Mus musculus: one gene and its partner. The protein of the gene in region 1 purifies or fractionates together with the protein of each later gene. This does not show direct contact. Links are inferred from orthologs where the notes say so. Each region holds a gene or a part of one and is shown on either strand. Other genes may lie near its edges.

The links. The genes of interacting proteins can lie anywhere in the genome.
Region 2: the proteins of Akap11 (region 1) and Prkar2b purify together in Homo sapiens (affinity purification with mass spectrometry; 3 studies listed by BioGRID and IntAct, counting the BioPlex papers as one, with this or other methods). This does not show direct contact. The link is inferred for Mus musculus from reciprocal best matches to the Homo sapiens genes AKAP11 and PRKAR2B.

The regions. Positions count from the first base shown.
Region 1 is NC_000080.6:78,505,298-78,510,313, reverse strand, and holds part of Akap11 (A-kinase anchor protein 11), read left to right. Parts: coding exon 1-434; intron 435-2,433; coding exon 2,434-2,589; intron 2,590-5,016. UniProt on the Homo sapiens protein: Binds to type II regulatory subunits of protein kinase A and anchors/targets them.
Region 2 is NC_000078.6:32,058,256-32,063,371, reverse strand, and holds the start of Prkar2b (cAMP-dependent protein kinase type II-beta regulatory subunit), read left to right. Parts: upstream 1-2,094; 5' UTR 2,095-2,289; coding exon 2,290-2,590; intron 2,591-2,782; exon of another isoform or gene 2,783-3,056; intron 3,057-5,116. UniProt on the Homo sapiens protein: Regulatory subunit of the cAMP-dependent protein kinases involved in cAMP signaling in cells. Type II regulatory chains mediate membrane association by binding to anchoring proteins, including the MAP2 kinase.

The DNA.
Region 1 (5,016 bases):
CATAATTCAGAGACCACAGCATCAGCAGATAGAATTACTTACGCAGAAAAATTGTCACCGCTTATAAATGAAGCTTGCAGATACTGTGACCTTAAGGAATTCCATGGTTGCACCAGAAATTCTGCTCAGCTCTTTTCAAAGCAGAGTCCGTGTGCTAGTGCTAAGCCAAGTTCACGTTCAAAACTTAGTAGCATTCGTCAGAAATCAAGAATTTTTCATCTTGATGTACCTCAGATTCATGTTAATCTTGATAAAAGGGCAGTGCTTGCTGAGAAGATAGTTGCTGAAGCTATTGAGAAAGCAGAGAGAGAGTTGAGCAACACGAGTTTGGCAGCTGATAGTGGAATCGGACAAGATGGCATTAGCTTTGCTGAGAGCCTTACTACAGAAATCATGACAACAGCTGTGACAAATGCTGGGCATGCTGTTAGCAGGTACGTTTCAAATTTTTTGTCAAGTCTTGTAATAGAATGAAGAGTTAACTTTGCCCTGTATGTTTTAGGTTCTGTTCATAAAAACTCTACTTATTTTCATCCTAACTTAACAGAGGTCTTCTCTGTTGCATTTGTATGTAGCTTCATGTCCTGTGCTTGGTTTTCATATGAAATTTTTGTTTCCCGGTTCCTTTTGTGAGTAATTATTCATTTACAGGGCTGGAAGATGAGAGAAAACACAATAACATCAACTAAGAAGCAGGTAATCAGAATAAAGGAAATGGGTGAATTTTATTCAAGAGTTTAGACTGGTATATTTACTACTCTGAGATTAATATCTGTTTCTATGGTCGAGACAGTTTTCTACACATGGCTTGGACAGTTTTTATTCTTCCTCTTCTATCATAGCAGCTTCAGAAGAGGAAACTAGATGGTGATTCCTAAGCCCTCACTCCCAGGACTCGGCCAATAACTCTGCTATTCATTCTTCAGATTATTCATCTTCTTCTTAGACCTGGCCAGTAATGTACCCCGCAGTCTTCCTTAAGCTTGTTTTAATCCAGACTGGAATTTGTAGGCTCTCTCTTTGTACTTCTGTTCCCAGGCTTCTGTGAGAACTGCAGAGTCCACTCAGTTGTATATAATTCTGCCTCACATTTTATAAAGTTAAAATGATTTACAATTGAAGAATGATTGATTCAAATAGATTATTCACTAAGATGTTAACTAAATTGTTTCACTAATGTTTCTTTTCTCATAACTGTTTGATTAATGGTAGAATATATAATAGGACGTTACAAACCCATAACGATCAGCTGGGAGCCATATGAATTTCAAATAGGAAAGCATATGACAGTGGAATTTTAGAATAATAATAGATCTAGACTTTATTTTCAATTAGCATGAGTCCAGTTACCTAGCAGTCATTACAAACCCTCTTTTACCCTCCTCCTGTGAATCATTTTCTTAAAAATGTGGTAGGTAACAGGAAAAAGTGTTAAATAAAATAAAGTTGTGGTGGAAGATACCTGTGTTTGGAATGCCAAGCCTAACTGAGTTGTCAGATCTTTTTAAATGCAAAGTGAGAGGTGCTTTAAAAATGGGAAGGGCAGTTCAAGGCTTAATTTAGGTGTTAGGGATATAAAAGAAATTGAAACAGGCAAAAAAACCAAACAAAAAAACAAACAAACAAAAAAACAACCCCAAACCAAACCAAACCAAAAACCACATTGTTCTGCAAGAGCTGGGGGTCCTGTGTTCTGGGCACTGCTGTAGAGTGACTCAACTTGGAGGATGGCAGTGAGGGACCAGCTTATACATATATGATGTTTGGAAGTCAATGGAAAGTTTTGATCAGAAAACTGATACCTTTTCTCTTCCTGCTTAAGCATCACTCTTTAGAACTGTGTTGACGATATACAGATGGAGCAATTAGTTTAGTTTCTCTAAGACAGGGTCTTACTATGTAGCCTTGGCTAGCTTAGAATTATGTAGATCAGACTGGTTTTGAATCACAGAGATACCTCCCAAATGCTGGAACATCAGTTTCTGCTAAGAAATATGTTTATGATTCATATTATGAAGAGATTTCTTTAGTTTGAATATAGGCTTGGTTGACACAGCTAGAATTTCAAACTGCATTTCTAATACTAAAAGCCAGAAGGAGGCTCTTTTAGATTCAAATGAAGGTAGTATTTTTATAGGTCAGATGATTTGCTTAGAACTTCTAGTGAGGCGTACTTCTGCTCAGTGTCCTGTTGAACGTGGAAAGTGCTTTCAACTGAATGTAGATGCACAAGGGTATTGTCTAGGTAGCAGATGCGGTCCTTGCTGTGCTGATGTTCAGTCTTCATTATGTGCAGATGCAGCGACATGTTCAGGGGTGTTAGTGTCACCGGGGATATAATTCCTTAGTGTCAGCTTTATCATCTTCTTTCTTTGTCACAATTTGTGATGCTTCAATTGTTTTTTAAATTATTACCATGTGATCGTTTCCTAGTTCAAGAGAAATAGAAGATTTTCAGTCAACTGAGTCACTTGGCAGCCAGCAGATGAATCTCAGTGTTGGTGAAGACAGCACAGGTAGCTGGTCCAACTTAAGTTTTGAGGATGACCATCAAGATGAAAGCAGCAGTTTCCATCATCTCAGTGAAAGGTAACTCTGACTGTATAGTTAAGTGTGTGAGAAAGGTCTCTAGACTTAAGAAAAGTGAGCAGTGGGTTTGTGTTATTTAAAAATTCTCAATTTGGAAATCTGTCTATACATCCAACATTTTATTATTCACAATGTGGCTCTTTTGTAGTTTTTACTTTAATTGTTCTTAAGGGTATGGCTTTCTTCTGGTGTGGCCCAGTCTGGTCTTGAAGTTAAGTTTTTCTCTTAACTTTCCAGGGTCTGGATTATAGGCTTGTGGATTATATTGCCATCCCTGGCTTCTCAATGGCTTTGACACATATTAAATGCAGTGAGGGAACAGAGCAAATATCTTCGGATATACTGACAGCTGACCTGAAAAAAAGTATTGCAATATTGAATTTTATTTCCATGTTAAGTTTTCATCTATGTTGTGGGAGTATAATTTATCACTTTAAAGAGCATACCTTCATTAGAAAGCTATTCATGAGGACAGTTAGGTGTCTGTAAATGGCATTACTATAACCCTGCAGTTTCCTGATACAAGCTATAATAAATAGTGTTTCTAGGGACAGGACTTCTGCTAGGAACAAAATATTTTATGTCGCTTCTTGGATTGAAAATGCAAACATTGCATAGTCTTAGATTTTTTAAAACCTACTTTAATAAGGGTTACTAAATACTTTAACCTCCCTTCTAGCCCACCACTCACCTGAGGTAGTGGAAATGAAAGGTTAATAGGGCACAGGGGAATGTGGACCTATTTAGAAATAGTTCTTTGGGGTAATTCCAGTCTTCATTGTCAGGACATCAGTGGTTGAATTGATGTGAGTCAGCAATAGTACTCCATCCACTCACAAACATCATTCACTAACCAGCAACGGCAGTTCAGTCCAAAGTGGTAAGCCACCCAGAATATCACCACAAGTTCTTCGATGCATTTCTCTCTATGAGGTCATGACAAATGATGATCAGCTAAGGAGGCAAGACAAACAAGTGCCACAGTGCTGTCAGCCAAGACCAGCATCTGCAAAGCCCAACAAAGCCCAGCAAAGAGTGGCAAGGTAAACCAATGCCACAGTGTAGTCCACTGTCTGCTGGGTTATACTTATACCCTTTCCAAACATCACATGTTCTCTTTCCAGGCAGCTTCCAGAAAAACACCATGTGTCTGTTCTCAGCAAAACATCCTCTCATAACACAGTTTTCAGAAAAACGTCACATGACACAACTGAGTCTCCAAAGAAACCAGAAATTTCACTTTACATGAATCTGTAAAAAAAAGTTTTATATACTTGAAGACATTTACTTTACATGCAAATTTTCTAGTTAACTTTGTTCACAATAGCCTCCTTTGAAATATTTCATTATGATATAGATTCTTATATTCTCACCTCTACCTAAAGGCATTCATGGGTTGCTTATGAACTCCCGTGAAGTATTTGTCCATATTAACTGACAATTGAAATAGAAGTAACAGCAATAGTTAGACCTCAGGGAGGGAGAAGTTCTCAGCATACCTCTACCAGGAGGTATATGTGGAAAGAACCGTGTGCAGTCCCTGCTGACATCGACCCTGGAAATGTTCTTGCTGGGAGAGGGAAGGAAGACAGTGTGACGTTGGAGGAGAGGCTGGGGTGGCATAAGGAGAGGAGGTGTGGCCTCTGGCCTAGGAGAGCGAGGCGTCCTAGCCTAAGGCTGGGAGGGTTTCTTTTCTACTTGGTTACACATTTTCTTTTCTTTTTTTTCCTTTTCTTCCTTCCTTCTTTCTTTCTTTCTTTCTTTCTTACTTTCTCTCTCTCTCTCTCTCTCTCTCTTTCTTTCTTTCTTTCTTTCTTTCTTTCTTTCTTATACTGTGTTTGTTATGTTATGGGAAAAATCAGTATTTTTTTACAATTTGGATGCCAAAAAATAGTCTTTAAAATGGAAACAGTAGAGCAAGGTCAAAAATCATGATTTTCCCTGGAACACTGTAATAACACTTAAGTTTTTTTTTCTTCTTTAAGGAAAACAAGCTTCCAAGACTTCAGCAAGAGTGACATTAAACTGGGAGAAGCCAGTGGTCTTAAGAGGGTTTGTAGAAAGCTCAGTAACTAGAGAGGGTTAACTGAGTTGTTGCAAGGGGCAAGTCTTTCCTGGGCTCTAGTCTTCATTCTGCCTGCAGTGTTTAGTTTATTAATATGGATAACTTAGAAACCAGGCTGAAGTGACAGCCTCGTAACAGTAACAAAACCAAATCAGGCTGAGGCCAGAGTAATTATATAGAATCTGAGCAAATGCATTCAGGCTCAGAAATTATGTGAACCCAGGTAGGGAGAACGTCTGACTTGAGAGTGTTTAGTCAGAAGATGTGTGTTTCATACAAGTACTGTTAGTATGCACTACTAACTAGTCATGTTGCAGTGGTTTTGAGATTTAGACAGGAGACAGCTCTTGGGACTTAAACTC
Region 2 (5,116 bases), on another chromosome or scaffold:
CATCTAGCACACCCTGTATAAGAAATCTATGATGTTAAAAAAAAAAAAAAAAAACAAAAAAAAAAAACAAAAAAAAAAAAACCATGTTGGAGAACGATACTTAAAAATGTGGTTCCTTGCTTCCTCTGTTTTTGAGAAAGGTGTTGAACATCCACAGACTAATAATTGTCCCTATACTTGGTTTTCCTCCACCTCTAAGCATTTGCTTGTACATAACTGCTCAAAATAAAGAATATTTTCCCCAAATTTCTCCATTGTAGCATTTAATTGCTATTGCTGTGCAACAAACTACCAAAATTTCAAGGCTAACACATACCTCCTCCTGTTTTTAAGGGTTCACCAACTCCATGGATCAGAACTTTGGTCAGGCACCTACCAGAGGGCTAGAGTGACTTCTAAATGCACCACTGGCCAAAGCAGTCACAATCCCCCTTGCGTTGCACTCCGGGCTTAGGAATGGTAAAGTTGTTCTGTGGAAGAGCACATGGGCTGGGAGGTACCATTACTCACTTTCAGAAAATAAAATGTATGTGGTCAGAAGTTGTAGCCAAAAGAAAAGATGAGTGTTTGCTGCCGGAAGGAGGCTCCTTTCTCTTCCCCACTTTCCTGTTAGCTGACTTAGAGGAAATGACTGGAGGTGGAGGAGCCACAAAGCCAGAATTACACAGCAATGAGCTTGAATGAGCGAGGATTCTTGATCGACATTGAGGACCGCAACGATAAAATCCCATCTTAACTAGTATTCTTTGCATTTTCTGCTGAGCAGTAGGGAGAAACATGATAGAAATACATCTTAGATTATTGGATCTGCAAAACATTTCGGTAGAGAACTTGACTAATACTGTGTTCCATATGGCCTCATGTGAAGACCACATTTTTCTGAGTTTATTTCTTATACACCACACAATTACAATTTAGAAGTATGTTATTTTAAAAAAAACACACACCAGTATTATTATTATGAGGTTAAGAAACTGAACTTGAGAAATGAATTCCCTTATGAAAAAAAAAGATAAATAAACATTGTAAACAAATGGGTAAGAAGCAATTTTTAAAAAATAAAACGAAATGATATTTTTGATTTCTAGGTTTTGGGTTTCGTGAGTCACATATTTTCCTTATGTGTGGGCAGAAAGGTAAGTGAGAACAACTAAGGAAATAAAATAAAACTCAATAAATAAATAAAACTTAAGAATAAAATAAAACTCAAGTGAGTTTGCACTTGGACTGCTTTACAATGAAATGGGCATCGTAGAAAATAAAGTATGCATATTTATACAGCGTTTAATTTGGCAAAAGATAAATTTTTCTGTTTCAAAATTCTCAGAATAGGCTCGTTTTAAAGACAAGGGTTTTCTTTAAAAAGCACAAATGTGTAGTTCTCTTTTCCTTTTTATTGCTATATTCAAATTTTGGAGATTTAATTGAAGTGACGCAAAGTGTCAGGAAAGGTTTTAAAAATAAGCAACAAGAGGCTAATCAGGTAACACACCCTTAGTTGTCTGTCCAGCTGCCCTGACTACCCTGTATCCTGTCTTGAAGGATCAACTAACTTTGTTAAGTGCTACACAATAAATGCGGCCTTTGTCTCAGTAACCAGTAGGAAATGTACTAAGCAGAGTGTGGCAGAGCATCTGTAAGGCAAACCATCACAGCCACGAGGCTAAAAGGCGGAATTAAAGAAAATTTTGTGACAGACAAGTGGCAGCATCTCTTTTATCCAGAAGAGAACCAGTAGGGCTGTGCGACTAACAAAAGACACCACGCACGTTTCTCTTGGGGTTGGATTCTAGGAAAAGGAAAAGCCACCAAGGTGGAGGCTGAAGTTTCAGCAGGAATTGCGCCGCACCAACTCTGCGTGGGACAGGGAGAAAGGTGCGTGGGATTCGCTCAGGGAGCTCAGGTGGAGCGCGCGGCCTCAGCCCCACGCCCCAGGCTCAGGCTGCCTCCACCCTGGGGCCACTTGAGAGGCGGCAGTGCTCCCGCCCGCCGGGTTGCCATGGTTTCCGGGGATCACGTGGGCGCGCGGGCGGAGGCGGGGCGCCGGGCGGGGGGCGGCGCAGCGGCGGCGGGAGCAGGAGCGGGAGGAGCTGGAGATGCTGCCAACCCTCCCCGGGCTGTGCTCGCTCTGCTGCTGCCGCCGCACGGAGCAGCCTCGCCGGGGGCCCAGTGCGCCGCGCTCGCAGCCGGTAGCGCCCGGGGCGCTCGCTCGGGAGCCGCGCAGCCCGAGACCGGACCGCGGATAGGGGGCGAGGGCGGCGTCCAGGCGCCTCGGCGTGCACGGGCAGGATGAGCATCGAGATCCCCGCGGGGCTCACGGAGCTGCTGCAGGGCTTCACGGTGGAGGTGCTGAGGCACCAGCCCGCCGACCTGCTGGAGTTCGCGCTGCAGCACTTCACGCGGCTGCAGCAGGAGAACGAGCGCAAGGGCGCCGCGCGCTTCGGCCATGAGGGCAGGACCTGGGGGGACGCGGGCGCAGCCGCCGGGGGCGGCATCCCCAGTAAGGGTGTCAACTTCGCCGAGGAGCCCATGCGCTCCGACTCCGAGAACGGCGAGGAGGAGGAGGCCGCGGAAGCAGGGGCGTTCAACGGTGAGGACCGGCCCCCTCGCGCCCTGAGCCCCGGCCGCCGCGTCCGCCTCACTCTCGAACCCCGCCTCGCTCTTGAACCCCGGGCTGAGCTCCCCACCTTCCCCGTGCTCTCCACCTTCCCATTACGCCCACCCCCTCAGCACCCATTTCGGTCGCTCCCACTCGCCCACCTTCCTACTCAGCTCTCTTGTCATGCCCTCCCTTTCTCTGGAGGTGGGGAAAGGAGAGGTTGCGCTCCCGCTGCCCCTCTGTCACCTCTCTTTCCGGGGCGATTTAGGGTGGGCATCTTGCTGGATCGTTAACTTTCCCGTGGTTGGAGATGTCTCAGGCTCCGGGAGTACCATTGTGCATGAAGGGCGCTTGGCGGCCTCTTTTCAGCCCTTTAGATTTATTAATGGAGTGTTCTGGGAGAAAGGGCGAAGCATGTAGGACTCAGTGAGAAGAGTGTGAAATCGGACTCGCTGAGGTAAAACAAATTAACGATAATAGCTGTGACATTCTTGGAATACGAATAATTTATTTTCCAGTTTTTCCAATACCATGTGGTGGCGATATTTTTGGACATATAACAAAGGAGCATATTTAGCCTGATACCTAGGGGGTCTTTGGCATGAGGAAATAGGCCAATGATTTTCTTTCTTTAAAAAAAAAGATACAAAACATATATTGAATGATTTTGATGTTCTTTTTAAAGTGTGTGGAAAAAAAAATAACACCATGGGAAGTTCTAAGAGCTTTGTCAGTTGTCTTAATGAAAAGCCAGCCAGCATCTAAGGACCACGCCAGACACTGAAGCTAGAGAGAATGAATGGGAGAGAAAGGGATTGTTTTAAATAGCTGCTTTTGGCGAGTCCCACCCCTTATGCTTCCCACCTCTCCCTGACACACCAGACACACATGCGTGTTTACACAATATGACCAAACCCCAGGTTTTGCAGGAGCCCGGGCTGAAATGCCGTGGTGTGCAAATGGACAAGTATTTTCCTTGGTGGTGTGAGGCGAGCATGCATGCAGCTTTTATTTGTTGATGCTGCTGGTGTGGGATTTGTGTGTCCACAATGCCTTTCACACAGTGAAAACACTAAAGGGCCATTCACTTCATTTCCCTTACGCCCTCCTCCCAGGAAGATTTTCATTCCTTTGTAGAATTAATTATATGTTGAATGGGTTATAAAATTAATGCATTCTTAGCTTGTTTAAAACACACAAACCCTGGATGTTAGTGCTCTGTGAATGTGAAAGATTGCTATTTAGATTTTTAATTTGGGACATTTGGGTGCTTTGAGAATAGGGTAATCATAGTTTTAATTGTTCCCACACCAAATCAGATGCTTGTCTCACTAGGAAGGGGAACTAGACAGCATCTTACACAGATGGTATAGAAAGGACAGTGACGTCTAATACTTGTATGCACACACATTTGTGCACATGCTATGTGTCTGTGGCATGGGGATGCAAGCGCAGGCAAGCAATGCACAATGGAAAAGGGGACTAGTGTCCTGAATGGGAGGCACCAAGGAGAAGGGAGGCTTGGGAGAGCCTCTGTGCTCTTTGGAATACAGTATTAATACAGTCAAACCTAATTATATCTAATTCTCTTGAAGCACTTTGCTTTGGTTTAATTTCTCCTTGCAAGAATGTGTATCTTGCACATTGGAAGAAAGAAGTGCTTTTGTAATTTTTATGAAGCTTTCTATTCCCCAAGTCATCTTTTCTATAAAAATCACTCAAGGTCAGTTGTAATAAATGCTTAACCAGTTGCCTTTTAACATCTCTACCTCCAGGGGTTTTAAAACTTCTTGACTATAACACAATTTGATCTTTATCCAGCAGATGTGTACGGGCATGTGCATAGCCGAAACTTTGGCATTGGTATAACCTCAATTGGGGCAATTCTCTTTTATATTTTTCTAACCCAACACTTTAATTATGTTAGATGTAAAGTGTGTTGAGAATCGGTTTAAAAAAGAACTGTGAGCTACAAAACGCTTGTCAAACTGTTTTTGTGGATGGCCTTTCAGACTTTGTGGGCATCCTATCATCTGGGTCTTCTTCTTTTTAAACAGCCCTTTAAACAAGTACACTCTATGGAGCTTGAATTTGTACAAGGCCATGATGTATCCAAACCTGATCATAGGGAATAAATATATATGTGTGTGGGGGGGTGTGCATGTGTGTGTGTGTGTATATGCACACACAGACACATCAAGATAGAGTCATCATTTATGGAAAGTTTGTGGAATTGACTGAAAACCCACAAACCTATTAAGGTTCTGTCTGTATGCAGGAGAATGCTGAAGAAAACCCAGCAGGCACTGGGCAGTTCTCTTGGCACAGTAGAGAAAGAGTAAGTGTTGGATGACAACAGTCCCTGTGGTACAGCACAGCATTGCAGGATCAATGACTTTACATTTCACATGAAGCTTGAAGCTTGATTCAGAAATATCATGATCTAGTACCCTTCTTAAGGAGCTTTTATGAATAGGTAAGACACAGGCTTGCTTATTTTCTTTTCTTCCTTATTTA